Regions from separate parts of the Mus musculus genome. Here all the other regions are reported to be linked to region 1. Evidence: microRNA targets listed by miRTarBase, many of them from high-throughput screens and not tested one by one. Region 1 holds a microRNA gene; each other region holds the end of a gene's coding sequence. Distances are from middle to middle.
The links. Region 1 holds the annotated microRNA mmu-miR-9-5p (UCUUUGGUUAUCUAGCUGUAUGA, at 2,704-2,726, shown strand). A microRNA usually pairs through its seed, bases 2 to 8, with sites in the 3' UTR of a target mRNA and lowers its output. Matches are read on the target gene's strand: a 7mer-m8 pairs with bases 2 to 8, a 7mer-A1 pairs with bases 2 to 7 and ends in A, and an 8mer does both.

Region 1 (5,073 bases):
AATAAATAAATAAATAGACAGATAAATAAATAAATAAGTAAATAAATAAATAAATTCTGGCTAAACCTGGTCCTGAGAATGCCCCAAGACATGGAGAGATAAGGCTATTTGCTTGCTATCATCCTTCTGGTAGGGAAACATCTTGTGGGTTTTATCTCATCTCAAGCTGGCCCCACCCACAGCCATGCAGCCAGCATTAATAGCAATGAACATTCAGACATACTCCGTTTTGGGTGAGAAGCACTAAGTTAAACCTATTAGCCACCACCTTCCATCTAAGCAAGATAAGCAGTCCACAGGTCTGGCTTTGTTTTGGGCTATTCATGGGACTAGCAGATAGACAGACCCAATGGTTAAAGTGATAGTCCCCTAAATGGACTGCTGGTGACTCCGTGTTTAGGGGTCCCTGGTTACAGGAACTGGCTGGTTTAATCTGACCAGCAGGATTTAGGCATCTCAGCCAGTTTTATAGAAGGGACCCAGCAGAGGATAAGTAGGAGGATGAAGGGACCGCTCACTGGCACACAGAGCAGCTCCTGGGGCCCATGGTTGCTCTGAGAATTTCGATGTACCTAGAACCCAGATGTTGCCCAACAGCAACTGGCTACTCCCCGGTGCTTTTCTGCTTCTGCTTCTTTGGTGGAGAAAAGGACCTTTCTGGCTGGACTGGATTGAGAGCCAGGTGGAGGAAGTTGAGGACGGGGACAGAGCTTTGCCTGAAAGGCATCTTCCTTGGGGAACCGAACCCAGAGCTGGCACTGCATGCCTGGGAGCCTGGAGGAACATGGGTAGAGGGAAAGACCTATTAAAGGTCTCCAGGACTTGGCCAAATTCTGAGTCTCAAAAGCAGCTAGGATTCTGTGGTTATCTGCAGATAGGGTCAAGGAACATTCCCCTGAAATGCAGAAAAGAGGGCCCCCTTTGCTCGCCCATTGTCTCATAGCAGGAGACTCAAACTGCACAGTCTTCCCTTCAGTGAGGGTTTGAGTTGAAAACCTTGAACAAAAGAGACCCTTGCCTCTCCTAAATATTAGGATCACAGTTTGGGAGGAATTAGAACTCAAAAAGACTCTAACGGTGGGGTGAGGTGGGAGGGGGTCAGAGATAGAGTCTCCAGTCCGCATCCCTGCCTCAACCTCCTGGTGCTGAGATTACAGATCTCTTCTCTTTGAGGGAATTTTGCCCTATTTATTTTCTATTTTTGCGTGCTGGTCTTGGTGCAATGTACCGTAGAGCCCAAAAGGAAAATGTAAGATCGACAAGAAGAGCGAAGGTGGCCATCAGAACCGCAATTGGCAATGGATTATAGACGTGGCAGGCGGGTTGTAGATGAGGCAGCAAAAGACTAAGGATTGGCATAAAGACATTGGATCCCATTCTCTGGGGGAGGGGCACCCCAATTGCACGTCTTGGACTGGCCTGGGGAGGGAGGGGGTCGGGCATGGAAAGGCTGGGGGGGAGGGGGGGAAGAAACGAGACAGTGACGTCAGACCAGGTATAGCCAATCAGGGGCTGACCTGAGGAAGGAGTGTGAAGGGATGAATGAAAAGTCCGGAGCCTGAGAGCGCCCCCGCCAGAGCAGCGGCCAAGGCTGAGGAGAGAGCTGGGACTCGAGACCCTGCTCCACCCTGCTGGCTCTCGCTCGGCCCCATTACCTGGCAAGCCCCGGCATCCTTGACCCACGTCCGTGGCGCTGCCTGGGTAGGAACGCGCCTGAAGACCGCGCAGGACACTACCACTGGGCATCCTGGGTTTGATGTAAGTGGCCTGACCCGCGTGGGGCACGAGGTGGGGAAAGCGCCTCAGAGTCCAGCGCGCGCGTCCGCCACCTGCGACCACGGAGCTCTACACCCTCTGCACGGTCCCTGGACCTCCTTCCAGTGGGTTCAGTCCAGATAGCCCCCTCCAGCCACTAAGGGCATCTCTCACTCAGACCCCCAGTGGCATATTTCACATCTCTGAATGATTTCGGCTGCGTTTTGCACAAAACCGGCTCCCGCGCGGTTCCGTAGGTCCAGGGCTCGGAGCACCTGCCTGGTCACCCTTTGCCCTAACCCGCAGCCCCACGTCCTGACTGCTCGCCCGATTCTCTCTGGGTGGGGTCTTTGCCCTTGGGAGAGTCGCTGGGGAGTCTCTAGATCACCCTCCACCCCGCCGCCAGCCACAGGCTTCCCTCTGGGCCTCGGGGTTCCCCAGTGCTGGGGTTCCCGTCCGGGGCTTCGCGGCCGCTCCCCTGCAGTCGGTAGCTCGGAGCAGCTCTGCGAGCTCGGCTCTGCCGCACCCCGCGGAGCTCACACTCGACCTTCCAGAGAAGGGTGTGGACACCGTGGGAGGTTGGGGAGGCCTCGGCCTAGGCTTCTGCGGTCTTCCCGGATGGCACGAAGGCCCTGGAGCCTTTCCACTAGCACCGGCGGAACCCTGCTTCTGCACGGAGGAGGGAGTGGGAAATGGGCGGTCAGGCTTGGGGCCGCTTGGTTTCAGCCTAGATTCCCGACCTCAGAACCGTCGGCGGTAGCATCTTTTCCTCGCCTTTCTGAGGTCTCGTCGTGATAGTGCGTGAGGTCCTGGATCCCATCTTTTCGCCTCCACACCACGCGCGTCCCCCATCCGCCGTCGAGCGACTCGAGACTACGGAGGTCCAGGCGGTGGCCGGGAGGCTGCGTGGAAGAGGAGGAGGCGGCCAGGAGGCGGGGTTGGTTGTTATCTTTGGTTATCTAGCTGTATGAGTGGTGTGGAGTCTTCATAAAGCTAGATAACCGAAAGTAAAAATAACCCCATACACTGCGCAGAGGGCCTGGAACGCTGGTAGTGGCCGAGCTGCAGGAGGGAGAGCCGTGCCAGGCGTGCCTGGAGGCTGGAGGGCTGGGGGGAGGGGGACTCGTCGCCTTCAAAGGTTGCTCAGCCCGAGCCACCTCGCGATCCCCACCCGCAACCTGCTCACCTGGGAAGAAAGCAAGAAGCCGCTCTGGGGTCGCCTCTGGAGGCCTGGTCAAAATGGAGCAGTCTGGGCCTCAGTCCGGAGAAGCCGCTCCCGGGAGAGACAGAGCCCTTGGCTGAAGGGTTGGGGGGAAAGTGCAAGCATCCCTCTCCCGGTCTCGACGCATCCCGGGAGCGGGTGGCTGGTGTGAGCAGCTTCCCTCTGGCTCTTCGAAGCGACTGGTGGAGTTCGAGGTTCGTAGGATGTCTCTAGAAAGCTGGTTTTTGCTTTGGTGGTTTCCCTGAAGCCCTTCAGCTTTACTGGGAGTCAAGATTGCCCAGGTGGGAACAGGTCTAGGAGCGGGGAAGGCTTAAAAACCAACACACACATCGAACTTATTAGGGAGAATGGCGATGCAGAAACAAAGTAACCACAAGGGCAAGGGCCAGAGTGGCCAGAGACCTTTTTACCCCACAGGAATTCTGGGACCCTGGGGCGCAGGTTCTTTGCTTTCACTTTGGCCTTCAGGACCAGAGCTAAGTCTAACTGAACTCTCTCTGGCTGCTTTGTCATTAGTGGCTAAAGGTGTAGAGTTGGGGTGGGGGGCTTTAGAGCATCCCACCTTTCGGTCCTAACCTCACTCTTGGAAATCGTGTCCCAAAGGAACAAATGGCCTCAAGGAGCTCTGTGGAGCTCAAACACAAAGGAATGTGTAGCTGTGCTGCCCAGAGAACGCAAAGAATTAGAGAGATTAATTTGGGCTCCTGTAAAAAGAATCTATTTATCTTGCCTGACCTAAATATTTTAGTGAAAGAGGGTTTCTACAGCTGAGAAGATGGTCTAACAAACATGGCCAGAGCTAGGAATCCCCTCTGCTCTCATGGCCCTCAGCCGAACTTGACCAGCTGGCACTTGGAGACCTGGGCTGTACCGACTAATAAGAGGCAGAAAACTGGGCAAAATGTCATCACCCAGACTCCGCTGGTTCTTATAAATTTAAAATTTCCTCCCGGGACCTGATTTTACAGTTAGAAGATAATGATTCAATTTTGTATTACATGGGGGGAAATATTAGAGAATCCAAATTCAAATTCTGGGACTTCAGGGAATCTATTGCCTGTGTGTGTCTTCTTTAGCAGTTAGGGGAGGGAGAGTCGAGTGGCCTCTTAAATTCCAGAAGCTTGGAATTTGTTTTGTTTTGGTAGGGGTGGTGGGGATGAAGCTTAAGTCAAGGAGAAAAGAGGCTGGGTCTAGGCTGGAACTAATGGTCTGGCCACAGCCTGTTTTCTTTTTCCGCTGCTTGAGAGATGCCATGTGATCCCATGTTACACAGGCACAAGTGAGCAGCTGACATTACTCACTGGCTTGACACTCAAAGCTCCTTCCATTTACTCTGTCTTGGAGAAAGTGACACTCCCCACCCCAAGGGAGCCAACTGGGAAAGTAGAAAGAAGGGAAGCCTCTCTGTTATTGGGAATTTGCATGGGCAGAGGAGGGGCATCAATAAAATAAGCTTCCTTATCATTACCATCTTTAATGTTTCCTGTATAGTGTCTTCACTGTAAATTCCAGGACAGCCAGGGCTACACAGCCCTCTATCATAGCACAGGCCTATAATCTGAGCAGTTGCAAAGTAGAGGACGAAGGATCAAGAATTCAAAGTCATCCTTGTCTACACAGCAAGTTCTTGGGCATCCTAGAGTCCCCCTAAACACACACACACACACACACACACACACACACACACACACACACACACACCACATATTCCCAGGAACACTTAGAGTCTCAGTTGCTAACCACAGTAGTTTTATATTATTGTTTCCCATGAGCACATTGGATCACAGGCTCTTCAAAAGAGAGTAGAAGGCTTTAGGAAAAGGAGGAATAGAGGCTAGGAGGTTAGGCTGCTAAGGGTTCATGTCTTCTTTAGATGCACACTGACTGTGTATGTGTACGGTACTCAGCAGGGCAGCAGGTGCCCTTTGTGAAGTCCATGTGCCTAAGGGTGAAGAGAGGGAGGCAGCCTGTGTGGATTGGTATAAGGATGTGTGCTGTGCTAGGAAACTCAGCTGGGACACTGGGGATGCTAGAATGTGGCCAGGCAAAACCACAGAAAAGAGCTGGGGTTTATTAAATGCAGACATCACAGTGAT
Region 2 (5,073 bases), not on the chromosome of region 1:
CAGGAGGGCAGGCCCTCCCAACCTGTAGCCTTATGGGAACTCCATCCTACACCTCTTACCAGTGAGAGAAGCTGGCCAGTAGTCAGCCTTGGAGCTATATCTGATGTGGTACTGTAGACAGAAAAACAGCTGAGGTGTGTGCAGCTGTCTTGCTTGGCCCCATGATGGAATGTGACAGCACTCCGTAGCTCCTAACAAGGCTTTGCCACTTACCACCCCCAAGGATGGTCTTGAACTCCTCCTTGTGCTCCCCATACCCCCAGTCCTGGGACCCAGTACGCCTCCTCCACATGACAGGATGCCTGGCAGTGGGGTTCTGCAGAGGTCACAACAGTTCCAGCATATCCCAAATGTTGGGGTCCACCTTGAGGACGACCTTGGGGGTCCAGCCCATGCAAGAACTGCATGCGGAGCACAGCTACTCGCAGTCATCCTGAGATCTTGTTCTCCCTCTTTATAGGACTCAGCTCCCAAATGGCAGAGACCCTGCTGTCCCTCCTCACACAGGACAAGGTAGACGCTCTCTAGGAATGTTTGTGACAAAGACCAGTCCTCCCAGGCTGATTTGTGTAAACCGAGCGCCTCTGATCCACCCTCATGCCAATCCATCCCCTGGAAGTGTGGCCTCCTCCTCTCTATCCCCACGTGGCCTGCTGGGGGATCCAACCTGCTGCTGTCAGACTTTTACCAGAACAGAGTCACAGCAGCCTGGGACTCCCCCTCACATGGCTGCCTCGCACTGAGACCATTCACATCTGACCACTTCCCACTGGAGGGATACAAATACAGCCCCCACCTCAGCAACACCCCCCCCCCCGCCCGAGACTTGGGGAAGTGCTACCCTTGTCAGGACAGAGCAAGAGCTGGCTGCTGGGTGCCCTGATTCCCAGAGGCTATAGGTCCAGGGGTCTGAGGAACTTTCTAGTTACCTCTTTCTTCCCAGGAACCTATATTCCTTTTCTAACAGAGCTGTCTCTCACAGAAGTGCTGAACCCCGGCTCCCAGCCCCTCATCAAGGTACTGGCTGGGACAGGCACTAACAGGTCTCTGATAAGGAAGTACCACTGTGGGACTCTCAGCAGATAAACCGGGTTACACAGGAGCCCCTCGGGGTCAGCATATGACATGCAGTGGGCAGGGCTGAGGGGGCCCATGCTGTCTCAGGGACAGACCAGAGAGCAACAGGTAGGGTCAAGCACTCCTCTCACCATGCATCAAGTTCTCACTGTCTTGCTTAGGACACAAATCCAGTGTCCAGATACTGAGGAAGGGCTGAAACACGCCCTGTCCAGCCTCTGCCATGACTGCTCCAAGAATTCAGCACAGCTACTTTTACTCACGGGTTGTCCTGGGTACTTGGAGTGTTGGCTTCTCTAGAGGTCATGGCTTGTGGGCACTCTGAGAACATATTCATATTCAAACTCAGGCCAGCAGGAGTCTTTTGGACTCCCTAGGACCCCAAGTCCTAGAGAGTAGCAGGCCCAGGCAGCTTATCATGGATGCCTGGAGTGCAGGTGGTAAGCCCACAGACTTCTTTCTGCATGTGATACGTGCAAAGCTGAAAGACAGCATTATCTAGCCTGATCACTCTGGATTTGAAAACACCGCACACAAGAAGTACCAGTGAGTTGGGGTATGGCTCAGAAGCACAGTACGTGTATGTTATGTGCAAGGTCCTACTGAGTTTGAGCCCTAGCACTAAAACAAAAGGATGCACAGGGGAAAATTACTTATATAGCTGCCTCTTGGTAGAAACCCCACCCCTGTAATTTTATACACCTTGAAACTCAACTCTAAGAAGTTAACATTTATAAAAAGAAAACAAAATAAAAATCCTTGGGCCCTCCTGATCAAACGTGTAGGCTCTGCTGGAGGCTTTGCTTCTGCCGGGACTCTGCTGTGGGACATGCTGGCTCTAAGATGGCATCTTGAGAACTGCCACAGTTACCACGTGGTTTCAGGGCAGGCCGGAACCTCTGGGCTCACCCGTTTCCTCTCCTTCTGTCCAGACCTGCCTGGGCCCACACAGCATGTGACCCTGAGGCAGGTGCATCCATGCCTTCCATTCCAGTTCCACAGGAGGGTGAGAGCTCTGGTTTGTGTAAGGTCAGACAGACAGCAGGGAGGGAGAACAAACTAGGAAATCGACGCATGACAGTTTATTACATTCAAGAGTATTTACTAGAACAAAATGACAAAGTGTCATTCATCGGCAGAAGCCTGTGACTGACAACAGTAGAAAGGTAGCTGGCCCTTTTGTAGCGAAGCTTGTGCTTTAGGAAGAGGCGAGCTTACATCTTAGAGCTTCCCAGGAAACAGCCCCAGAACAAGAAAACCTCCAAATATCACCTTTTGGCGGACAGGGTCTCACATGCCAGGGCTGACATCAAACTCACCGTGTAATCAACAGTAACACTGAACTCATGATCCTCCTGCCTCCGTTTCCCCAAGTACTAGAATGACAGGTATGCACCACACTCAGTGTATGTGGTGGTAGGGATCAACCCAGGGCTTCGTGCATTGTAGACAGGCACTCTAAGAACTCCCAAATACTACTTTTAATAGCACATGGCCATCTACAAGCATGCCCAGAGGGTCAACAGTGCTCTTTAGTGGCCTATTAGAGAAGGCAAAAAGCAGTGGTCTGAAGACAGCACTTGACTGTGGACCCTCACACAAATGTGGGCAGCCTGGCCCTGGCTGTGAGACACCCAGTCTGTGTGTGCATGTGAGAGGGTCTAGCCCACCATCTGTCTGTCCCTGCACTGGCTCCAGGCCTAGCCCAGGCCCACAGATTCCAAAACAGAATGTTACCTCTACATGGACATACTCGTTCAGCAGCAGCTGACTTACTCCAAATCCTTTCAGAAAACTCGGGCAACTTCCACACTGCCATGAGGATCACATAGCCAGCAGGGGACAGAAGGTGTGAACTGCAAGCCCAGGAAAGTCTCTAACAAGACAACCCCTTTTCATGATAATAAATAAAACCTGGCCTCAGATCCACCACCTTGGTGCACAGTGGAAGGCCTCAGTGAAGGCAAATACAGCAGAGGCTGGAAGCTCAGAGGAGTTCAGTGGAGACTCATTTGGAAACAGTCATTTTCACACAATGGTCACCCCAACGGAGTTCATCAGCAGAACAAGAACAAGAACAGAACTGGGCCAAGGAGGGCCAGAGAGGCACTGGGCAGACAGAATAATAGGGTCTCCTGGTACACTCTGCAGCATAAGCTGCCAGATTGGGACATTTAAGCAGGGTGGAGGGGTGGGACTGGCCATCTGATGGCAACACAAACAGACACGGCCCACTTCCCAATAACTACTTTCAAATTGCTTCCTTCTCTACGTTCCATAGATACAACAGATTCCTAGTCTGTAGCATTATGCTTGAATACAGAACCTCACTCAGTCCATGTTTGGCCTGGCATGCCTCCTGGGAGACATTCCCACCATCCATCTTGTTACTGAAGCTGTGGCCCCATTTTTATTGATGGCCAGTCTTCCACATGGTGCCTTGCAGGTGACAAACAAGTGTATCCCGGAGCAACAGGTCTTGACATTGTTCAAACAACAGCTTCTGTGTCAGGCACATGAAATAAGGGCTTCCTATTCTCGAAAAGAGGCTGCTAAATTCCAGCCAGAAATCAACAAACCGGGTAAGGCCTTGGCTCGTGATATAGGCCCCACAGCCCAGGCACAGCGTAGAGCCACTTCTCCTGGAGTCCCAATCAGCACACAGGATCCTCATGTGGGTGTAGGCTCAGCTGTCCTGGTGCAGGGCTAAGGCACTGTCTTAACTCCTGCCCTGGAGGGGCAGCCACCAGTACAACTTGAATCTCTGGCTCCCTAAAGCACCCCCCTTTCCCTACTGCACGAACCCTCCCTCTCACATGCTAATGCCCAGTCTGTGTTTTAGTTCTATGCTTACTGAAACGATTAACTTTGGTACTAACAGGAGCTATTTCACCAATATTGCTTATAATAAAACAACAACTTCAATGAGGAGAACTCCTTGTGACCAGTCTTTTCCCTGGTGTTACAGGCAAGTGGCTGAGCACCCACTGAGTGTGCCACCTGCGTCTTGCTGCTGACAAAAACCTACTTGGTGGCAGTGTAGACTCAACGAGCTGTGGGCCTATAAGCAGGGTTTTAACACTCCTAAGCTAAGTGCAGTGGTTAGGACGGTCCTCTCCATGGAACGGGTACTGACACTTTCCTCTGACACACTCCTAGAACCCAGGCCCACATGAAGGGACCAAAGCCAGCTCTGTCCCACCACTGGGAATCACGTGGATAATAGTCAAGAAGTTGGATGGCTAAAGCTTTCACTAACCCATGGTTCCCACAACTTAATCCCATTTCCCAAGATAAGCCCGGCCGGGCACAGCCTTTATGCTGTTTGCACTCCAGGGCCCTGGTGGAGCCGGACGGTCTCTGGAAGTAGGCTGGCGGTGTGCTGTACTTCTGCTCCTGAGGACGGCCATGCGGAAGAGCCCTGGCCTGCAGTTCCAGTTCCAATGCAGAGGCCTAGAGCTGGGCACACTCCCTGCAGGGAGACCCAGAGTCACTGAAAGCTTTAGGAGTTCTAGCTAATGGTGTTGGTGTCACTTGGTGACTGCAGAGGTCCCTAGCTGGTATCAGCCGCTCCTGTGTGCTCAGGTTTCAAAGTACTTGTAGATGGCTGTAACATACAGCATGACGTTCTGCCAGTCGGGCCGTTCAGTACGCGCCATTTCATTGATGTCCTGTGGAGAAGGAGCTCAATTAGGACTTATTTCCCCTCCCACGCCACCCCAATGGGCTTCTAGTCCCATAAGCAGTAGACAGCTTTTAGTCTAAGGTGCACTGCCTCTTTCAGAGGACAGGTCTCCAGTATCTGCTCTATCTCCAAAGGTCCCTGTGAGCATCTCCTTCCTGAGTATCAGAATCATCATTCCAAGTCACACTCTTGTGCCACTAGGGTCTCCTCTCTGCCCCAGCCCCAGCTTATCAAGTGGAAACTCTCCCCAGACTTTCTAGGCTCTTTCTAGGCTGTTCTCTGGAGACACTCTAGGGCTCACGGCATCATGG
Region 3 (5,073 bases), 32 Mb from region 1:
AAGCCGAGCAGCAGGAAGGAGGGATGACAACTATATTTTTCTTGTGGCCATTAAAATCCAGTTCATCATCAGGATTCTTATAGTAGATGCTTGTAGACATTGTTCTTGTTCAATGAAGGAAGTTTTTTGGTGCAATACTTTGTCTAGTAGAAATAAAAAATGGTAATAAATTCATGATTTTTAAGTTGTAAGAAAATTCAGAATTTCCAAATTAGAAGTATTTTTATCCTAAACTTTTGATATTTTAATAGGTATTCTTTATTTTCCTAGCCATGAATCATCTTAATGGGCAGAAGATGTATGGAAAAATTATTCGTGTTACTCTCTCTAAACATCAGACTGTGCAACTACCTCGAGAGGGACTTGATGATCAAGGGCTAACAAAAGATTTTGGGAATTCACCACTGCACCGTTTTAAAAAACCGGGATCCAAAAACTTTCAGAACATTTTCCCTCCTTCTGCTACCCTTCACCTGTCTAACATCCCGTGAGTATCTATTTCAGCTCATGACTGAGCACAGTCATATTATCAGCCAAGCAGGTCTATGGTTATCTGTATTCATCTGGACTCTCCCTGTCTTCTTTTTCTAGCCCTTCTGTAGCAGAAGAGGATCTGCGAACTCTGTTTGCCAACACCGGGGGCACTGTGAAAGCATTTAAGTTTTTTCAGTAAGCAAGCTTCTTTGTCTTAAAATGTGTGACTTGATAGAACTTAAATTTTTTTTTCAAATATATCTATTTATTTACCTCAAATGGGTGAAAATCAGTGTTTAAACTCTTCTTATGAAGTATCTAATTTCATAATTTTGTTTCAGAAGAGATCACAAAATGGCTCTTCTTCAGATGGCAACAGTGGAGGAAGCTATTCAGGCTTTGATTGATCTTCATAATTATAACCTTGGAGAAAACCATCATCTGAGAGTGTCTTTCTCCAAGTCAACAATCTAAGCACGGGAGATGAAGATGGCGGGCAGATCCCATTGTTGGTGTCATCACCTATTGACTGTTCAGAAAAGTGGGGACCAGAGTTTGATTTTTTTCATGCTGTTATCATTCCTTGGTTATAAAATGAAATGGCATATGTAAAGGCAGAGTTGCTAACTGCTGTGTTTCATCTGTTCAATAGGGAAGCCATTTTTGTCTGTTTAAATTTTTAGTTTAATTTTGCTTTTTTTTTTTTTTCCAACTTAGTTGACATACGTGCCTTACAAAGGAAAACTAGTGTTGCTATTCTGCATTTACTAGGAAAAAGGAATTGGTTGTTTAGGGCACATCGTTATGTGGGAATTAAAATATGTTTGGGCAGGGGTGTGTCAAAAGGTTAAGTTTTTATTTCTCCTGCTTGGAACTTTCTTTGAATTATTGGCTTATCACATTTCTTTCTATTTAATCTAATAAGATACTTGATACTGAGAGTATAAAACAGCATTTTTAGTTTTTACTATCTTAGGCTTTATTGCTTTTGAAAACATTGGCCTTTTGTATCTCACAAATCTGGTCTAGATTCAGTTATGAATGTAGGCATTAGTTAAAATTAACAAGATGCAGAGTATTAATTTCTTAAGACAAGTGATTTCTGTAAGTTTGAGCCCTATGTGGAAAGCATTGTGGAACCTTAACCTTTTTGTACACACTCTTGTGGGACGTGTCATATAAATGTCAGCACTAAGTAATGTCTTGTTTGTGGCTGAATATTTTTCGTAGATGTTTTTGAAGTTGACATGACTTACGTGCATTTAAATATATATTGCCATCCTTAGTTTGTAATTAAGATTTGGAAAATGGTTGTGGATTTCTGAGCATGTGCAGACTGGTCTAGCTAGTTCAGGAACTGGTGCATGTATTTTTCAAAGACAAAGAAAGTGTACTGCGAAAACTTGCAGGAAGATTAATTTTGTGGCAGTTTTCTAAAACTGACAACCAGGTGGGACCAAAGTTTATGTGCCTTTAGTCTTAATTTACCTTGCATTGTAATATTCAGTTTTAATAAATCTTCAAAATATTTTGTATTTAGGAATAGATCTGACTTTAATAAAAACATGGCTCAGAATCTACAGGTCAAATTTATTTGAACAGTTCTTGTCAATCTGAATTGTTGATTCTGTTAAATGACCAATACTTTTTGAAATTGATGTACTTAGTTTCAAGATTCATAGATTCTGTTATCTATGTAGACAGAATGGTCATGTATATTTTCTATTAGTTGAGTTTTTACATCTTTAGAAATGTAAAATTCAGTATAGTTTGAAAGCGGCACAATTAAAAATTAATTTTCTAACAAAGTTGGGAGGTTTGATGGTTGTTTAATTTCACTTTGTGTGTACTCTGCTTACCTCTGTAGCATGCTCAATAAACACTTCTGTAGCTCTGTATTCACCTTTTCTGTCTTTCTCTGCTGCCTTTTCTCTCTCTCCTTTGTTTTCACTCCACTGTGCTTCTGAGTTCATGTTTACTCTGCCAGGGTGGGAAAGGAGTAATACTATCACAATCCTATGGCTTTATACCATAAATAAATCCAGATGCTGTGAAAATGCACCAGCTGTTCCTTTTTTTAATGCAAAAGTCGGTAACTGCTTTTTCAGGAGGACACATATTAAACATTTCCCACCCTGTTTATAATCTGCTTTAAAGACATAACTTCTATTGTAGCTTGTTAATTCTCTCTATCTCTTTTGTTGTTGTTGTTGTTTTCCCGTAGATTTATGCACTAATAGGTCTTTTGGATTTGCCATGCTCTCTTGCTGCAGTTTCATCTTTCATCTTTGTGTCTGCTCTAGATTTCCTACTAATTTTAGACTACTACTGAGTTTTAACAAAGGGTTCTGCTGTTACTGGAAAGAAAGGACTATGGCATTGGCTTCTATTTGAGTGCCATAGGGTATATACATGCAGGCTTTTAAACCGCAGGTGCTGTCCTCCTCACTCTTTATACTGATGCTGTCATCAAGCTATTTTCTTTTTTTTTTGGTAACTTTATATATACAAATACTGGTATCAATTAACTTTGGTGTTAATACATGTATACCTCAAAGTCACACACTGGACATTAGGGTCATTTTATAAAAATGAAGAATCATGTTTAAAAGTATTGTTCTTTTCACAAGAGTCTACTCAACTCCAAGAAGTACAGTAAGTAGGAATGGTTCCGTTTCAGAGTTAAGAATTTGAGTGTTGCTCTTGTTTGTTTGTTTGTTTGTTTGTTTTTAAAGTGATGTTGCAGTATTGTGACCAGGTACAGGAAGATCAGCTATGCCTTAATTCTGTTAGTTTACAACCAGCATTGGGACAGAACTGTGTGTGGTTTTCTTTGGGATTGCATGGAGGCTCCAATACTTGAAAATAGATGTTGCTCTTTGTTTCAGGTAGTTATTTGTAGGTTACACTTGCTTAAAAGGAAAAACAAGGTTCTAGGCTACATTAAGACACTGGGAGGAGTTCCAGATCGCTCTCTAATGACAGAGAGCAAGGTCCCTCCCCACCTCCTGCCCATCCAGGGTGTGGCTGGCTTTACCCTCTTTTAATAATTTCCATCAATATGGTCTTATTTTAAAAGTATCAAGATATTGAAGTGGGAAGTTTGACATCTAGAATTCTTAAAGTTCAGTGCATTAGATTAGAATAGCACTCTATCAAAAGAACATGAGGTAAAAGTCCTGTTGCTTTATGTTGTTATGCTCACTGCCGCAGTCTCTCACACTAGCTAACCTTACAGCATTTTCAGTGTTCAGCTGCTTTGTTAGTAAAAGCTTTCTCTTGGGAATTTAGAAACAAATAAATTGAATTTTTATAATTGAGAGAAAAACTTTCTTTTAATAAACAAGATTTGCTTTTGACAATGTATTTCAAATCACCTACATAAGAAGGGGATTGATTCATATTGATTACATTTTATGTTGGACACCTATTTCTTTGTATGAAATCCACTAAGACCTTTGCCAGGAAGAAGGTAACAGAGTTCTATGAAATCGGTAAAAATTTTATTAGCAATATTGAGGTTTTTAAGGTTAGGATAAGAAACTATGTTAATTGGCATAATTAGTTCATATGTATCTGTTTAAACTACCAGATGTATAGTTTCAGAGGAAGGACAATTTTCCTAAGTCTAAAAGTAAAATGGAGTCCATAAAGTTACACCCAGTACTCAGGAAGCTGATGCAGGAAGGGTAGGCTGTCCCAGCTGTGGCACTCTGTGTTAAGCAAAAAAATGTTAAGTGCCAGTATTCCTACCTTGCCAGGTTTGCCTGTAGTTATCAACACTCCAGATCGTCCCACTGTCTTTCTTACTGTTGCAAAGAAATGTTTGTTAATGTTTTAAAATCACCTAAATGCTACTTTTTAACAGTAGAGTGCCATGACAGAATGCATCCCACAGCTCAAGGATGCCCAGCCTCAAATTTCATTTGAACTACTTGATAGTTGAGTAATAAAGTATAGCTTTTTGGAGTTACAGACTCCATATAAAAGGCTTATATTATGTATAAGCCTTTACAATTTGCTGTGAAACTTGAAGATAATTCTAACCATACTAAAGATTTTTCCAGCATAAGATGGAAAAAACGGCATAATTTTCTGAGTAACCCAGGACTTTATACAAGATGGGAACATCGGTCTCCATTCAGAGCATAAGAATATAGAATTATTTCATGAAATTGAGCACACAAAGGGTTCTATTTCAGCTGAACACTGCTTTCTAGAAAGTCTGATAAGAAATGTGAAAAATTATTAAACTGGTATTGGAGTGTTGGCTGGTTGTCAGTCTCCGTGACATAGTCATTTAAGAAGTCTTACATAGACTTTATTTCCTGTAGGTTATCTTCGTAGTTTGATTTTGTGAGTAGTGTACATTTTAAAGTTACATTATCAGTAATTCAAAGTAAAAAACAAGTGTGTAAAGATGGAGAGAGCAGCATGCATCAGAGCTGCCCACTCGGCTCTGCTGAGTGTACACTGCCTTGCCTGCCCCCTTTCCTACCTCTTTCCCATCTTTTTTTTTTTAATTCTTTTTTTATTAGATTTTTCTTTATTTACAAAAGAAGTCATTAGATATGCACTCACTGATAAGTGGATATTAGC
Region 4 (5,073 bases), not on the chromosome of region 1:
GTTCAGTGCAGAGAAGGGCCCACACAATCACTGACCTTTCATACAGGTTTACCTATATAGGTACACCCAGCTGCTCATGTTACTTATTCTTGGGAATTGTGGGTAGTATTTTTCTGTCATTTTATGATGAGCACAATAATCTCTAAGGATAGAATCACTAAACCCACAAGTCTGACAAAACCAGGGTTCAAAACTGGCCTCTAGTCCAGAAGAAAATTGTTGTATGTTCAAAAAAACAGCTAAAGCAGGGCCCAGAGAACAAGTGTCAGGAGTCAAGGCTTCTGCCAGAGTCCCCAGACTGTTCACAGCAGTGTCTCTTCTGGGCAGCTTCCAAAGTGCCCTTTATTCTCAAGGACTCTGTCTGTGTAGCCTTGAGATGCACTCATTTGCTGGGCCTTTGGCTTTGTGCCCTAGGGAGTGTGTCTGCGGGCAGAACCTTCTCAGTGCCCGAGGAGAATCACAGTGTGGGTAAGCCACTTGTTGGTCCTTGTCAACACACATCAGGAATTTAATTTTTATTTCCAGAGTAGTAAAAGTATCCGGAATATATCAGTAATTTATAAATTGTAGCCCATTAAAATATCTGCCATTTATACAAATTCCTAAACATGCTCTTTTCTTTGCCAAGGTCACATCAAATGCCAAGTAGCACTTTTATCTGTTAGCACTTAGCACTCTCAATTGATCATATGGAAGGACATATAAGGTAACAATACATTAAGAACACACTCTCTAGTGATTCACTGTTACTTCTGTCTCTTTAGATTGCAGGATCCTTTATCGTCTCACTTTGATCATAGTATACTGATAATCTGCCATTTAACTACATTTAAATCTTTAGTCTTTATTTCTGTGTATCTTGAATTTCAGGCAAACATAAAAGTGCAGACTTGGGGTTTGCATTTTATAATAACAAGTTTTCTGAGAAAAATACTCTGTCGGTTTTCAATTCTGCTATGGCCTGTATTACTTTTCTAATAGTTTTTCTCTGTGCTTATGAAAAGTACAAAAAACAAATGAGCCAAGCAAAATTCAACTGGCACATTCTGAATAGTTTATAAACTATCCCATGTAAACAGAGGGAGCCCTTGCTGTTCTGTTCTGAAACTTCAAACATGCTGACCAGTCACAATTCTAAGTAGATTTCAGTCTGATTTGGAAAGGCTGCCTGTGTATATATTTGCCATTTTATAATCATATTGCTATCCACAGCCAAGCTATTAACAAGCTTACCTTACAAACAATCATAGTGCTATTAAGTTACATAAAACCAAACACACGGATGAATAAGCAGTACATGTGATGGTCTCTGAGCTCTGGCATCCAGTGGTTGGTCTGAGACCCTTAGTGCTTCTCTCTAAAGTAGCTCCTCATACTAATTACAGCTTAAATGTTAAAACCCAACTTCATTTGTAATTCAAACCCAATTTGTGAGACCTTGCTGAGTGTCTATATAGTTAGTGTTCCTAAGATTCAAATTAGAAAGAGGGGGAGATTTTGTTGTTGTTGTTGTTGAATTGAGCCAGTATTGTTTGTTATTTGGCACAGGATAGGTTAAAAATACACAACTGGAATAATAAAATCACACTTTAAGAAGGATACATTATTTGAATACTTATATCAAGAACAACCTTAAATTTAGTGAAAGATTATATATTAAGACTGGATTACCTAAAGGTATTTTGCCTTTAAGACAGGTTTTGAGGGCACATGGTCTGAATGAGACACTCAGAATTCATCATTAATCCAAGTGAACAGAGCTCATCCTTACTGTTTTTTTGTTTTGTTTTAATATAAACAGGCTCAGTTTTCTCACATTGGTGCGTCCCTTCATGCTAGAACTGCTTATGTCTACAGAGTCCCCGAAGAAGCGAAAATCTTTTTTCTAGCACTAAACATAGCATATGGAGTTCTTCCTCAGCTCTTGGCCTACCGTTGTACCTACAATCCCGAGTTCTTCCTAAGAACTAAGGCAGATGAGAAGTTGGAATAAACAAACATACCTCACAGTTCTCTCTGACCTGTTAATGGGACTGGCGCTCTCCTTTATCCCCTCCATACAGGAATACTCACAAGAACACACTTGTTCTGCAGCATACATGTGAGTGAAACTAAGGGTAGTATCTGGGTATATTCTCAGTTTTGAAAGAAAATTAAAGTTGAGAAACAGCTTTTTTAAGGAAATATATCACCATTTGTCTATGAATGTGACCATTGATTTTAGCATTGTTTGCACATAGTATGTGTGAAAATTACAACTCTAGTGCCTACAAAAAGCATAAAAATGAAACTATTCAGAAGTAACTAACCATACTATGCATAAGAAATAATTCAAAACAGCAATTGCAGGTTGGAGAAATGGCTTCATATGAAATGTATGAGTTGTTGACAATCTTAATATAAATGCCAGATCATCACAATATTTTTAAATTGATTCAAGTGTTTTCACAAGGAAAGCATATTATTTATTGCCATTTTAAAAATTGCTGTCAAAACTTCTATTGTGAATTTGAATAGCTAAGATGACACAAATCAACTTTATTAGTTGCCTTAATGAACACTTGTTTTATTGGTTGATAATATTTCTCTTGTGTTTCTGTGTATACCTTCAATACTGTGTATACCTTCAATAAAATTATTTTTGGTGTTTATGAAGATAAACTTTATTAATTTTGAAGCATTTTATATATACATTTTCATGACAAATTTTGAACTTTTTATTTAAGAAATCTGTGCCAGGTAGTGGTAGCACACGCCTTTAATCCTTGCACTTGGGATTCAGAGACAGGCTGATCTTTTGAGTTCCAGGCTAGCCTGGTCTACAGAGTGAGTTCCAGGATAATCAGGGCTACACAGAGAAACCCTGCCTCAAACAAACAAACAAACAAAAAAACCTTTGTTATATGTTCCAATTTAAAAATGCTATCTACATTCTCCATATGTTTTGCATGATAATGAAGAGATCTTTTGTCAAATTTCATTATTTTAAACTAAAATATTTAAAATTAAAAAGTACCTTTTAAAGAAAAAACCCTGACTTAACAGCCTGTCTCTTAATGAATTTTCCATACATGGAACTGCGTGAGCACAACAGGGGACCACTGATTGCTAACCGGCAGGAGCAAGCCCAAAGGACAGTGATGTCCTGGAGGGAGGGGTGAGTAGACCAGTGCATCCAGAGCCCCACATCACCTCCATCTTCACAACGACACTGGGCTCTTAGGTCTTCTTCTATTTTCTCTTCACGTTCATTAGTTCTTCAACACAGTAAGAACACCAAAAGCAAACTGGATGCACGGAAGGCTGTGTGTAAATGCAGGGTCCCCTGAGCTGGGCTGTCGCAGACGTGCAGACAGCCCCTGCTGCTGCAGCTCCTGCTGTTGCTCCCTCCTGTCCCCCCACGGCTTTCACTTAACCTAACATCCAGAATACTTAAAAAGAAACATGATAGAAAAAATAAAATTTTCACCTGCACTTAATTCTAATGTCAATTTGCTGTCAATCTTTGCTATAATACAAGAAACACATTAATACTTCACATTACACATATGAAGCCAAATAACACTAACTCGGCTGTTTATAACCTCAAACCTTACTCCCAGTACACATTCCAATAAATTTATTCTGTAAAAACAATACATTTTTTTGTTTTTGATTTTTTTTTTTTACAGTAAACTTCTCAGCTACAAACCTCAAACACACACAAAAGATCTTCCAAGGACAAGCATAGCAGGGTTGATGAGACCCAAACTGACTAATGAGTTCTCACAGTATAAGCTGGCATAAAAATAAATAAGACTCTATCACCACAAGAGCGACAGTAATGCACACGTAACAATGGTTGGCGGATGAACGTTAACTACTCTAATTCTAGTTCTAAAAGAAAAGTCTATTTTAAACTCTGTACTCAAGAGTCAATGCTTTGTTTCCCACAGTGCTCCTGCTGAGCTCAGCTTTCAGTGTAAAGTGACCATCTTGAGGGATTGGCTCAAATTGTATTGGCTTTGGGAAAAAAAATAAGTCCTTGCTTTATTTTGGTATGACACAAAAAGACTCAGTAAGTTCACATATAAACTTAGTTTGTGGACACAGGAACATGAGTTTTGAGAAGTATTAAGTTTCAACTAGCTATTTCTAATACAGAATAGGTATTGTACATATGGTTAAACTTTACACATGGCCTTAAAACTGAAAGATGACTCTAACTTCATCTCCAATACACCAACAGTATGTATCTAGGAGTTGGTTCTTGGGTTCTGCTACAAAGAAAATCCCATCCTGAAGTATTATGTTGAGCAGTCACCTAACAATATGAATTACTGTTTAGCTGAGTATCTGATGATGGTGGGAGAGAGGCAGGAAGCTGATGACTTGGAAAAGGAGCCTAGACACAGAGAAGTCTGCAAAATCTTCATCATTCTTAGTGATTAAGGGCAACTTCATGCAACCAAATAACATAAAATAAAGTCAACCTTAAAAGGGTTAAAATGTCTCTTTTTCCTTCAACAGAACAGAGAGGAATGTGACTAATGCACACACATACTGGGGCTCTGTCAATGACAACAAAGACCGTTGGTTCATATCAAATCCAAATCCAAGAATTAGACAATCAAACAGTTAACCTTCTTGTGGTGTCTCTCAATATGCAGCATTCATTACGGTAGTTAGGTCTGTAAAAAAAAAAGCAAATAAAACAAGCCTTAGATGAGCTAGGACACTACCGAGGGAAGCTCATCACCATCACCCTGTGGGCACTGGGTTCTTGTCCTTTGCAGTCTGAGTCAGCATCACAGCAGCAGTACTTAACGAAACAGCGTCAGAGGCTTTGCTTTCTATCAACTAAACACTGACACGCTACGTTAGTATCCTGTTCAAAACCAGACAAACCCTAGGGGTAACCTCTGTTGCCTCTCCAGTGGAGGAAGCTATGGCAGTGGCACATGCTGTACCACTCAAGGAGGTGAGTACTGCTGCTGCCCACCACACTCCTAAGAGAGGTGGTCTGTCTGACCGGGGTGAGCAGTATAAGCTGAAGGCCATCTGGGTGCACGCAGACTGTCCTTCACAATACTT
Region 5 (5,073 bases), not on the chromosome of region 1:
GAAGCCACAATACACCACCAGAAGTTGTTTTTTGTTTTGTTTTGTTTTGGTGCATTTCTCTCTATAGATTCCGGACAAATAGAGCTACACAACGTAAGATGGACTAACGCATGCGTGTTGTTAGCAAAGAATCCTTCATCACATGCTTGCCTTAGCAGAACATCCTTTTCTCCTGTGTCTGCTTCAGCTAAATATTCCTTCACGTGTCTGCCTTAGCAAACACCTTCCCGCACCACTGACTTTCCAACGAGCCCTTAAGTTTCCACCTCTGCTGACTTCACTTTCTATGAAGGAGATGCTCCAAACCTCTACCCGACACAGCCCAGAAGCATATTCAAATGTCCTTAGTTTGAAGATGGTGGTCAAGGAGTGTGTTTTCATAGGACATCAGCAATATGGACAATGTCAGCTTGGGGTAAGGCAGGTAGAGTACCCCTTGGCTGGAGTGACAGGAACCAGACTAAACTTGCTATGACTGGAATAATTTTGCACATATAATTTAAAGGATCAGTTAATGTTTCATGTGTGCCTTATGTACACAGCCTGGTGGTAACTTGATGTGATAATTTTAACTCACTTCATTCTAACGTCTGTTCACTGGAGGCCAGGCATCGAGTTCTCTCTCTCTCTCTCTCTCTCTCTGTGTGTGTGTGTGTGTGTGTGTGTGTGACGTATTATGCGGATGTTCATCAAGCTCAAATTCTGGGTTTTAGTATTTCAGATTAGGGATGATCACTGCATAACATGAATACATCTTTGAAGAACAAGTCAATATTATGCTTTTTAAAAGAATAATTTATGTATTTTATGTTTATGTGTATGTGCCTGAGTGTGTGTATGCACTACGTGCATGCAGTGCCCATGGAGGCCAGTAGAGGGCGTCAGATCCCTCAGAACTGGAGTTGCCAGAGGCTGTGATCTCCCAGTTGTGAGTGCTAGGAATTGAACTCAGGTCCTCCGCAATAGCAGTATGGACTATTAACTGTCTTTCCAGCCCCAATATTATGCTATTAAAAGAAGCATTTGGTAGTATTAAGGCTATAAAACCACTTTTACGAAACCCACAAGAGAATATCCATTTCCGTGGAAATGAAGTCCTTTGAGGGTTTTAACGCTGCACACAAGGACCTGACTCCAGATGTGACTGTGTGTTTGGCTCCATCCAGAGGGATGTCACAGACACAATGTGCACATGCCCTGGGCAAAATCACTTTGAAAGAAGGAAGAGGCTTGGGTAAGCTCACATCACTATTCTGCCTTGCTCTATCAACACACATCTCACGACAAGTAGCTCAAGGGGCTTTGCAAATTCCTGTATCTCTTCTGCCTCCTCCAATTCCATCAAGACAGAGAAGACAGAGAAAGCGAGAAAGACCATTGGTAGCTAACAGAGAGAGAAGGAACGTTGGCAAACCACTCGGCTGTGCCTGGGAGGCTGAGAGTTGGCCTTGGGTTCCACATTAGATTCTCAGGGGTAAGCGACAGAGACAGCTGTGAAGGCCAATGTGAAGAAGCAGTGCAGGACCTCAGGAGGCCAAGGAGGAGGATTTCGAGTTCAAGGCCAGCTTGGGGTGCATAACAAAACCTTGTGGTGGTGGGGCACACCTTTAATCTCAGCACTCTGGAGGCAGAGGCAGGGGATCTACAGAGTGAGTTCCAGGACAGCCAGGGCTATACAAGCCCTGTCTCAAAAACAAAAACAAAAAACAAACAAACAAAAAAACCTTTGTCTCAGAATAAAATAAAATATTTTTAAAAGTGTGTGTGTGTGTGTGTGTGAGAGAGAGAGAGAGAGAGAGACAGACAGACAGACAGACAGACAGACAGAGACAGAGAGAGATGGGGGGTATTTCCAATTTCCATACCATGTTCTCAGCAGCAATATTAACAGTAAACAAGAGTCTGCAGCAAGCCAAGGTCTGTTTTATCATAGCAACAGTAAGGTAACTAATACAAAGACTTCTTTCCCATTTGCATCCTGCACCCCCCACCCCTTGCCACTCGTGTGTGTGTGTGTGTGTGTGTGTGTGCGCGCGCGCGCCTGCGCATGCTCATGTGTGTGAGTCTGCGCATGCTCATGTCTGTGCGTCTGCGCATGCTCATGTGTGTGCCGTAGGAATACATTCAGACAGGAAGGTAGGAGAGATACACCTGAACCGGAGCTCAGCTGTAGAGGTGTTCCAACGCTTGTTACATGACTAACCACCACTTACCTAAATAAAAAACAATATTAGCTGAATGTTTGCCATCAAGCATATATTATGCTTTTACATGAGTAGGCTAAGAGTAACCAAATGTCTGTTACCTCCTTGGAGCTGAGTGTTTGGATTCACCCAAATCACATCCACCTTCCAACGGCTCAAACTCCAGCTTAAAGGGGAGGACATGGCTGGAGAGATAGCTCAGCGGTTAAGAGCACTGACTGTTATTCCAGAGGTCCTGAGTTCAATTCCCAGCATCCACATGGCGACTCACAACCATCTGTAATGGGATCCAATGCCCTCTTCTGGTGCGTCTGAAGACAATGACTGTACTCAAATACATTAGAGAGAGAGAGAGAGAGAGAGAGAGAGAGAGAGAGAGAGAGAGAGAGAAGAGAGAGGACATTATCACAAAAGCTAATTACAGGATCACATAGGTAGGCTGTCTGTGCAGAGACAACCTAATGATATAGACAAGAAGATCTCACAGGTTGCCACGGAGGCAGCTATTCCTGATGGGCATGGAGACAGAGACTGAGGCAGAAGAGGGGGCTGGGAAATGCCCAGACACATCCAGGACCATCCAGGCGGTTTTGGCTAGAGAGAAAACATTATGCAGCTAGTGTCTAGAGGGTGAAAGAAGCAAAGAGGCAGAGGGGTGGAAGCTGGATCAATGGAGAGACCTGGTGCTTACAAGACACCATACCATACCACATGCCAAGTCAATGCTTAGGGGGACGGAACTTGCAGCAGCTAAGAGACACAGTAGGGCAGCATTCTCAACCTGTGGATCGTGACTCCCTAGCCATTGCACATCAGGTTATTTACATTGCGATTCATAACAGTAGCAAACTTACAGTTATGAAGTAGCAATGTAATAATTTCGTGGTTGGGGGTCACCACAGCATGAGGAACTGTATTAAAGGGTCGCAGCATTAGGAAGGTTGAGAACCTCTGACTTAGATGGCAAAGAGGCTAGCTAAAGAATCAGGCGAAGCCGGGCATGGTGGCACACACCGGGATCCCAGCACTCGGGAGGTGGGAACACGAGGACCAGAAGGTCCAGGTCATCCTCGGCTACACAGTCAACCTGAGGCCAGCCTGGGACACATGAGACCCTGTCATAGGACAAAACAAAGAAATAAAGGACAGAACTCAGTGGTGTCCAGCGTACAAAGGGACAAAGCAAGGCGAGTTTATAAACCTGTGGGCTGGAGCTTGCTCAGTTTCAAAAGATCAGAAGCGAATGAGGAGGGAATGGGAGAACCGATCAGATGTGGTGCCCGCGGTCCTCAGCCTGGTCGGCTCAGGATGCTTTAACACTTTGGTGAAGAGCTGACCTTCGTCGGGTGTGATGACGTTAACCCCAAGACTTGAGGCAGAGGCAGGAAGATCTCGGGTTTGAGGCTAGCCTGAGCAATATAACTAGATCCTGTCTCAAAACCAAACAACACCAAGCATCCCCCAAGAATGCACCTGCTCAAGAGAAACAAAAACAAACAAACAAACAAACAAACAGAAAAACAGGAAATCTCACATACAGATGAGGCCATGAGCTTATAGTTCACGCAAAGGAACAAGAACCAACATTTCTACAGTAGAAAGTTTATTTCCATCCATAAAATATATCACTAAATAGATGAAAAAGTTACATAGTATTTTAAAACATAGATTTTTAAAAATCATATTTAGCTTTCCCTTAGCAAAAAACGGGTTTGGTTTGTTTCACGTATTTACAAGAATATACTATATTTCAGATACATGGCTTTCCCCTCAAGCCTGGGGGGCCTGGAAAGGCCCCCCAGGGTAGGCGGGCTCACCAACAAGTCTCATTATTGGCTCTCCCACCTGTGCGAGGAGAGGTTTGATTTTATAGAAGTCACTTTGGAGTAATGGCAGACAGCATCTAGAGAAAAGTCCAGCGAAGCAACGGCCTGTAGGGCGCTTCCTCAGAGGCGAGGCTAATCTTGGCTCTGTGGTCTACAGCCTGCTAGGGTGGCGGGGTCCAAGGCCTCCTCGCTAACTTCTTTCTCCGTGAATCTTCACCTGGGCCTGTGGCGATGGCGGCTCTGAGCCTGCCTCTCTGCTGAGGGGCCGCCTGTTTTGGTAGATGGATGGATGTTCTGGGACGTTGCCACCCATGTTCTGATACATCTGGAAAGGGGGAGAAGCAGCAAGAATGACCAGCTGAGCAGGACTCGCCCGTGTGCCTAGAAAGCACAGTACTTAAATACACCTTACTTTTATACAGATCATGAAATATGAGTTTAGGGGCTGGAGAGATGGCTCAGTGGTTAGAACACCTGCTGCTCTTGAAGAGGACCTGAGTTTGGTTCTAAGAGCCCATGTGAGGTGGCTCACGATTGCTTGTAACTCCAGCCCCAGGGGATTCAACACCCTCTTCTGATTTCTGAGGGTCCCTGTATACACTACTACATGTAATTGAAAAGTAAAATAATCTTAAAAATATAAAACTATGAATTTGGGTAGTTTCCAGGCTTGTTTTGAAGTTTTATTTACTTTATGTGCGCAAGTGTGCACCTGTCAGTATTTGAATGCAGTGCCTGCAGTGGCCAGAAGAGGGCGCTGGAGCTCCTGGAATAGGAGGTATAGGTGACTGTGAGCTACCCTGTTTACTGGGAAGTGAACCCTGATCCTCTGCAAGAGCAGCCAGTGGTCTAACTACTGAGCCATCTGTCCAGTCCCCTCCATGGGTTTTGTTTTATTCTGAAACAGCAGCCACTCATTTTTTTTAAGACTAAATCTATTTATTTATTTATTTTTATTTATTTATTTGTTTATTTATTTATTAATTATATGTAAGTACACTGTAGCTGTCTTCAGACACTCCAGAAGAGGGAGTCAGATCTCG
Region 6 (5,073 bases), not on the chromosome of region 1:
CAGACCTGGGGGCAGGTGCTTTTATCTACAGACCCACCTCTCACGGCTTCATCTTGCTTTTGAAGCAGGGTCCCTCATTGTCCTGAGGCTTACCTGAGTAGATGAGGCTGGGGGGCCAGCAGGCCTCGGGGATCCACCTCCCCATTGCTGAGACTTCCTCTGGGTACCATTACGGCCAGCGGGGCTTTTTTGTTTTAACACGGGTTCTTGTTTTTTTACCAACTGAGCCATGTTTTCAGTGAGCGCCACGGTCCTACTTGTGTCCTGAGCAGTGTCTAGAATGATGCCTTCAACCCGACAGGGCATGCTGGGAAGACATTGAGCCTGCGGTCTTGGCTATGCTACCTCTCATGGAGTAGGGAACCCTCCCTCCTGTAGTTTCTGAATGAAGTGGCTTGGGAGGACTTGGTTAAAAGATGTCAGGCACCAGGGCTCTGCTCCTTGACATAGAGGGGGGAGGCGGTTTACTCTGGAAATTGAGGGTCTTCATTGCCCACTGGCCCCTCGGCGTCCTACTCCAGGACTTGAGGAAGACCAGCAGCGGCAGCCAGAAAGTGTAGGACTGAAGAAGGAAACAGAGGACAAGGACGAAGCCAAGGCCTGTGCTGGTGCTACCTCGACAGCGGACCCCAGATGCCCTGCCCTGTGGCACAGAACACTATAAGCTCTGGGGTCTGAAAACTGTCACAAGCCCCAAAAAGACATCTGAAAAGATGTTTCGGACAATGGTAACCCCAGCACCTGAAGGATGGAGGCAGGAGCCTGGGCCACACTGGAATTCTTAGCTGCCTTGGGCTCGGGGTAGTGCACATCTTAATTTCAGCACTGGGAGGCAGAGGTTGGTGGGTCTGTGAGTTTGGGCCCAGCCTAATCGACAAGTTCGGGCCAGCCAGGGTAACAAAGTAACACCCTGTCTAAAGACGATTAACAAAACGCATGAGAAGAGCTGGAAGGCAGAGCTGAGGGGGTTCTGGAAGATGACAAAAGAAAATAAGGTTGCGGAGGAGGGGCAGGCAATGGTGAGTATAGGCGGCCCCAAACTTGACTCACAAGCCAGAGGGAAGAAAGCAGAGGCAGGTGTGCTCTTAGACATTTCCCAGGACCAAGTCGGGTAGAGAAAGACCCCCAGGGGGCCAGCACAGGACAGGGCAAGCAAAGTTCAAGGTCACTATGTAGGTGGAGCCCTTGGAGAGCTGCAGAGGGGGCTGGTAGGTAAGTGGGCTGAGGATTTGGGGACAACATAGCCCCAAGATGGCTGTTTTACAGCCATCTTTTCTCTTTTGCTTTTTCAAGATAGGTTTCCTCTGTGTAGCCCTGGATACCCTGGAACTTGCTCTGTAGACCAGGCTTGCCTCCAACTCACAGAGATCAGCCTGCCTCTGCCTCCCAAGTGCACCACTACCACCACCAGTTACAGGGATCTGGATGGTGTGACTCTCAAGCAGATTGAATCCAGGAGTCTGGGGACAGCTGGCTGTACCAGGAGAGGTGTCCAGAGGTAAAAAAAGGGTGGGGCAGAGGACAAGGTGACCTGACCAAGGGAAGCTAGGTCCCACTTAGCCATAGACCTCTCATCTTGAGTAACAAAATATCCACTCTGTCTAAACTGCACAATGAAGGTGTGTACTACCAAGGAGAGGGACATAGGTAGCCAGTCCCAAGCTACCAGAAGTAAAGCAATGCAGCCACCTGTGATCTGTGTGGGTGCATCCCTACAGCCTCCTCTATAGCCTCCTAGACTTTCTAGAAAGCCACCTGAGCAGCTAGGAGACTGGCCCTGATGCCTTTCCCACAGCCCAGACTGCCCGCCCCTCCGATCTAAGCAGCCACAAGGCTGTGGGCTCACCACTCACCTTTAGTCTTTGTCCCTGGGCTCAGGCAGGCTCAGAGCTGCACTGGGGCCATGGCACCCCCCCCCCAACACACACACAAGGTGGTATGGGTACATCTCCCCTGCCCCAACCCAAGGCTGTGCAGATGAAGAGGCCATTTTGGGTTCCTTCTCATGCAAAGGTGGGTTTTTTTGTTGTTGTTTTTGCTTTTTCTTTTTTAAAATAATGTGTATGTAGGTACTTGTAGAGGCCAGAGAAGGGTGTCCAGTCTCCTAGGGCCAGATTTAGGATGGCCATAAGCCACCTTATGTGAATGCTGGGAGGTCATGGTCAATTTGTTTACTTTAGGGAGAAAACTGGATGCCTGAGGCTCTTCAGGGTTTGTTTTGTTTTAGAGACAGAATCTCTCTATGTAGCTCTTAATGTTCTTGGACTCATTATGTAGACCAGTCTAGCTTCAAGCTCTAAGAGATCCACCTGCCTCTGCCTCCCCAGTACTGATTTGCTCCTGTGTTTGAGACAGACTCCGTCAGTTGACAGACTAGCTGCCAAGGTGTGACAACACATCCCTGGGTTCTAGCCTCTGCGCTGAAGGAGGTCAGCAGCTCGTGTGCTTAGAGCCAGTTTTATTTTAAAGCACATTTTAAAAATTCCCTAGTTAATTAAGGGAAAGTTAAGGGGTCTTAGGGCATCATCTACCCAGGTGACACTAGGAGTTGTACCCAGATGCCTAGGTCCCCTCACAGGCACACAACAGCTCCTGGAAAAGCAAGGCAGGTCACCCAGGAAGAAGAGGGCTGCAGGAGGGTGAGAACTGTGGACGGGTTACTTTATTTCATATAAAATCACACTGAGGAATTGAAAAGTCAAGTATACTCAGCTTGGGTTCACCGCACAGACTCCACACTGGAGGGTGAGACCGCCAGAGCCTACATGCCCAGACACGTGTGCAAAGGAACGCAGAGACAATCTGAGGCCTCGATGTCCCTCTGCAGGGACTTGGGCCCCAGAGATTGCTCGCTGCATGAGGGCTCGGCTCAGGTCCCTGGGGGTCACCTCAGTAGCACAGGAGCCCAGATGAGGGCAGGGCACAAGCAACTGACACCGAAAGAACAGTCATGGTGTCCCAGGGACAGAAAGGCAGCTGGTCCCAGAAGGGAAACACTGGTGTCTGCATGGGAGAAGACTCTCAGGAAGTCCCCAGACTCTGTCAGACTGCTCTCACCCAGCAGCAAAGCAACAACCAGCGGTTAAGGCAAATCCCCTGAGGGGAGCTGTTTGTGTACTGACGGGATTCTAAGCCCGCACCAAGGCTCCACTGACTGCGGTGCCATGGGTAGAGAAATAGTCACATATCACCACTCTGACAGCTCAGGCACCAGGCTGTCTCACCCTGCAGCACCTGCCCCAAGGGGCCCTAGGTGGCTTCTCACGCTGAGCTCCTCATGGCCCCTGCCCCAAAGCGCTGGGCCTCAGCATGGGCTACCACTCTCCCTGTTGAGAGACTGTTGCAGTTGCAGTTTGGCTGGAACAACAAAACCTCAGCTCCACGCCCTCAAACACTAAATTTTCAGTGAAATAAAAGCAGGAGGCCGGGCCCATGCACAGGCATGCCTGTTCTTTGGATCTGGACACTGTAGGATACATTCATAGTAGGCCAGCAAGGGCCAGCAGTGCGTCCCACTTCCCTGAAACACTGGAGTCTGAAAGACAGCTTGTCTACCACATACGTGCCTCAACGACACTGCTGACTCTGACACATGCTCACACACACACACACACACACACCACACAGACACACAAGGATGAGCACACACAGACTTGCTGGAAGGGTCAAAGGATGCCCGTTCCGGGGCAGCAGGGAGTGTTCTGGAAGCTGCTTTCACTGTTCAGTGCTGGGTGTCAGAGGCCTCCAAGGCAGAGTCTCTGTGGAACCCCTTCTTTCGGGTAAGGGGGTGCGCTGGGGATGGGCCAGCAGGACTCCCAGCGCTGCTGTGCTGGCTTTCTTCATGACTGAGAAGCAACTCCACCCGTGGGTGCCCACGCGACATCCCAAGGGTCAGGATGGTGAGACGATGGCCTCCCGGGACTGCATGCTTCTCCTGGCAGTACACAAGAGAAATGACAAGTGCCTGTGGCCTGTGGTCCATGAAGCCGCTCATGGCCCCGTCAGCTGGCCCGCTCCATCTGCCCACAAGGCTGCTGTGCACGCAGGCCACTGAGCACGGATGTCTGCAGACATTCCCACCCTGAAGGCTCAGACAGAGAACTCGGGGCCTCCTTTCCTGGTCCTCATCTGCAGCCGCCTGAGTCGGAAGCCAACGAAGGGGTTCATCCAGAGGAGGGAGGGAGGGCCCCCGAAGACAGACTTCATTCCTTCCCACCGCAGCCTGCGCTCCCACGTGGGCTTCTCGCTCTTCAGCCTCTCGATCTCCTGGGAGCAGAAGAAGCCAGAGCAGCAATGAGAAGAGATCCACAGTCAGCCTGTGGCTGCACTCGGCTACACACGGCGTGCTGCACTGTGGCTGCACACGGCTACACATGTGTGCTGCAAACAGTCAGCCTGTGGCCCAGGGGGAGGGGGGGGCCACCATCCGCATGGGTCAGCCTCCACGCCAACCTGGCATGGCTCTTGTGGCCCAGTGGCCTCTTGGGGGGGGGGACGGGGACCGACGCTGCGTCCCTACTCATCTGCAGTTAGGCAACGCCTACTCCAGGCCTGCAAGAGTGGGTACACCTTCACGGTTCTGAGACCCACTGAGTTCTGACCAGGAGCCTGCCTACTTTACCAACTTAAACCAATCCTGGGCCCAGGAACTATGCTGCCCCAATGGAGAGAGCAGCATACACAGGCCTGTGGGCCCAAGGTCTGAGGTACCACAAGTCCACATGGGCTGCTGCCGCTGACAGTGCCCCTGCCGCCCCCTGAAGACACAGGACAACTCACTGTTTCATCATTGCATATCGAGTGGATCTGGGTGCCGAACATGACTGCGGTGAAGGTGAAGAACAGGAGGCCCTCAAGGCACAGGAAGACCAACAGGATTACAGTTATGGGAGGAGAGAAGTCGCTGCACTCTGCGGACAGACGGGAGGGAGGCACTCAGTGTGCAACCGCCCTACTCTGCAGGGACCGCACACAGTTCCTAGGAGTGAGTTCCTCCTGCTGAAGAAGTTGGTACACAGCCCTGCCTGGCACACAGCCTCCCCATCCCTGCCAGCTGGCAATCTCCCCTCCCCT

Region 2: miRTarBase lists Specc1l as a target of mmu-miR-9-5p. Seed matches in the 3' UTR shown: 7mer-m8 at 3,944-3,950.
Region 3: miRTarBase lists Ptbp2 as a target of mmu-miR-9-5p. Seed matches in the 3' UTR shown: 7mer-m8 at 1,930-1,936.
Region 4: miRTarBase lists Hdgfl3 as a target of mmu-miR-9-5p. The part of its 3' UTR that is shown has no 7-base or 8-base seed match.
Region 5: miRTarBase lists Flt3 as a target of mmu-miR-9-5p. The part of its 3' UTR that is shown has no 7-base or 8-base seed match.
Region 6: miRTarBase lists Zdhhc7 as a target of mmu-miR-9-5p. Seed matches in the 3' UTR shown: 7mer-A1 at 3,451-3,457.

Annotation. Positions count from the first base shown.
Region 1 is chr3:88,212,910-88,217,982 of GRCm38, forward strand. It overlaps Mir9-1 (microRNA 9-1), which reads left to right and starts at 2,689; the gene lies at 2,689-2,777. All of the region lies in intron 2 of Gm3764 (predicted gene 3764), which reads left to right. It overlaps Mir3093 (microRNA 3093), which reads left to right and starts at 2,262; the gene lies at 2,262-2,348. It overlaps Gm25641 (predicted gene, 25641), which reads right to left and starts at 2,761; the gene lies at 2,704-2,761.
Region 2 is chr10:75,309,465-75,314,537 of GRCm38, reverse strand. Specc1l (sperm antigen with calponin homology and coiled-coil domains 1-like) reads right to left here. Exons shown (of 16, transcript NM_153406.3): 16 at 2,138-4,748. The coding sequence ends at 4,659. Among named protein-coding and RNA genes, the nearest start is that of Adora2a, 4.9 kb to the left of the region's middle.
Region 3 is chr3:119,716,203-119,721,275 of GRCm38, reverse strand. It overlaps Ptbp2 (polypyrimidine tract binding protein 2), which reads left to right. Exons shown (of 14, transcript NM_001310711.1): 12 at 271-487; 13 at 592-669; 14 at 819-2,534. The coding sequence ends at 948. Among named protein-coding and RNA genes, the nearest start is that of Ptbp2, 65 kb to the left of the region's middle.
Region 4 is chr7:81,881,414-81,886,486 of GRCm38, forward strand. Hdgfl3 (HDGF like 3) reads right to left here. Exons shown (of 6, transcript NM_013886.4): 6 at 1-4,670. The coding sequence ends at 4,665. Tm6sf1 (transmembrane 6 superfamily member 1) reads left to right here. Exons shown (of 10, transcript NM_145375.4): 10 at 1,802-2,666. The coding sequence ends at 1,993. Among named protein-coding and RNA genes, the nearest start is that of Tm6sf1, 25 kb to the left of the region's middle.
Region 5 is chr5:147,326,951-147,332,023 of GRCm38, forward strand. Flt3 (FMS-like tyrosine kinase 3) reads right to left here. Exons shown (of 24, transcript NM_010229.2): 24 at 3,791-4,355. The coding sequence ends at 4,221. Among named protein-coding and RNA genes, the nearest start is that of Urad, 7.0 kb to the left of the region's middle.
Region 6 is chr8:120,078,451-120,083,523 of GRCm38, forward strand. Zdhhc7 (zinc finger, DHHC domain containing 7) reads right to left here. Exons shown (of 8, transcript NM_133967.3): 7 at 4,780-4,910; 8 at 2,645-4,266. The coding sequence ends at 4,090. Among named protein-coding and RNA genes, the nearest start is that of Zdhhc7, 20 kb to the right of the region's middle.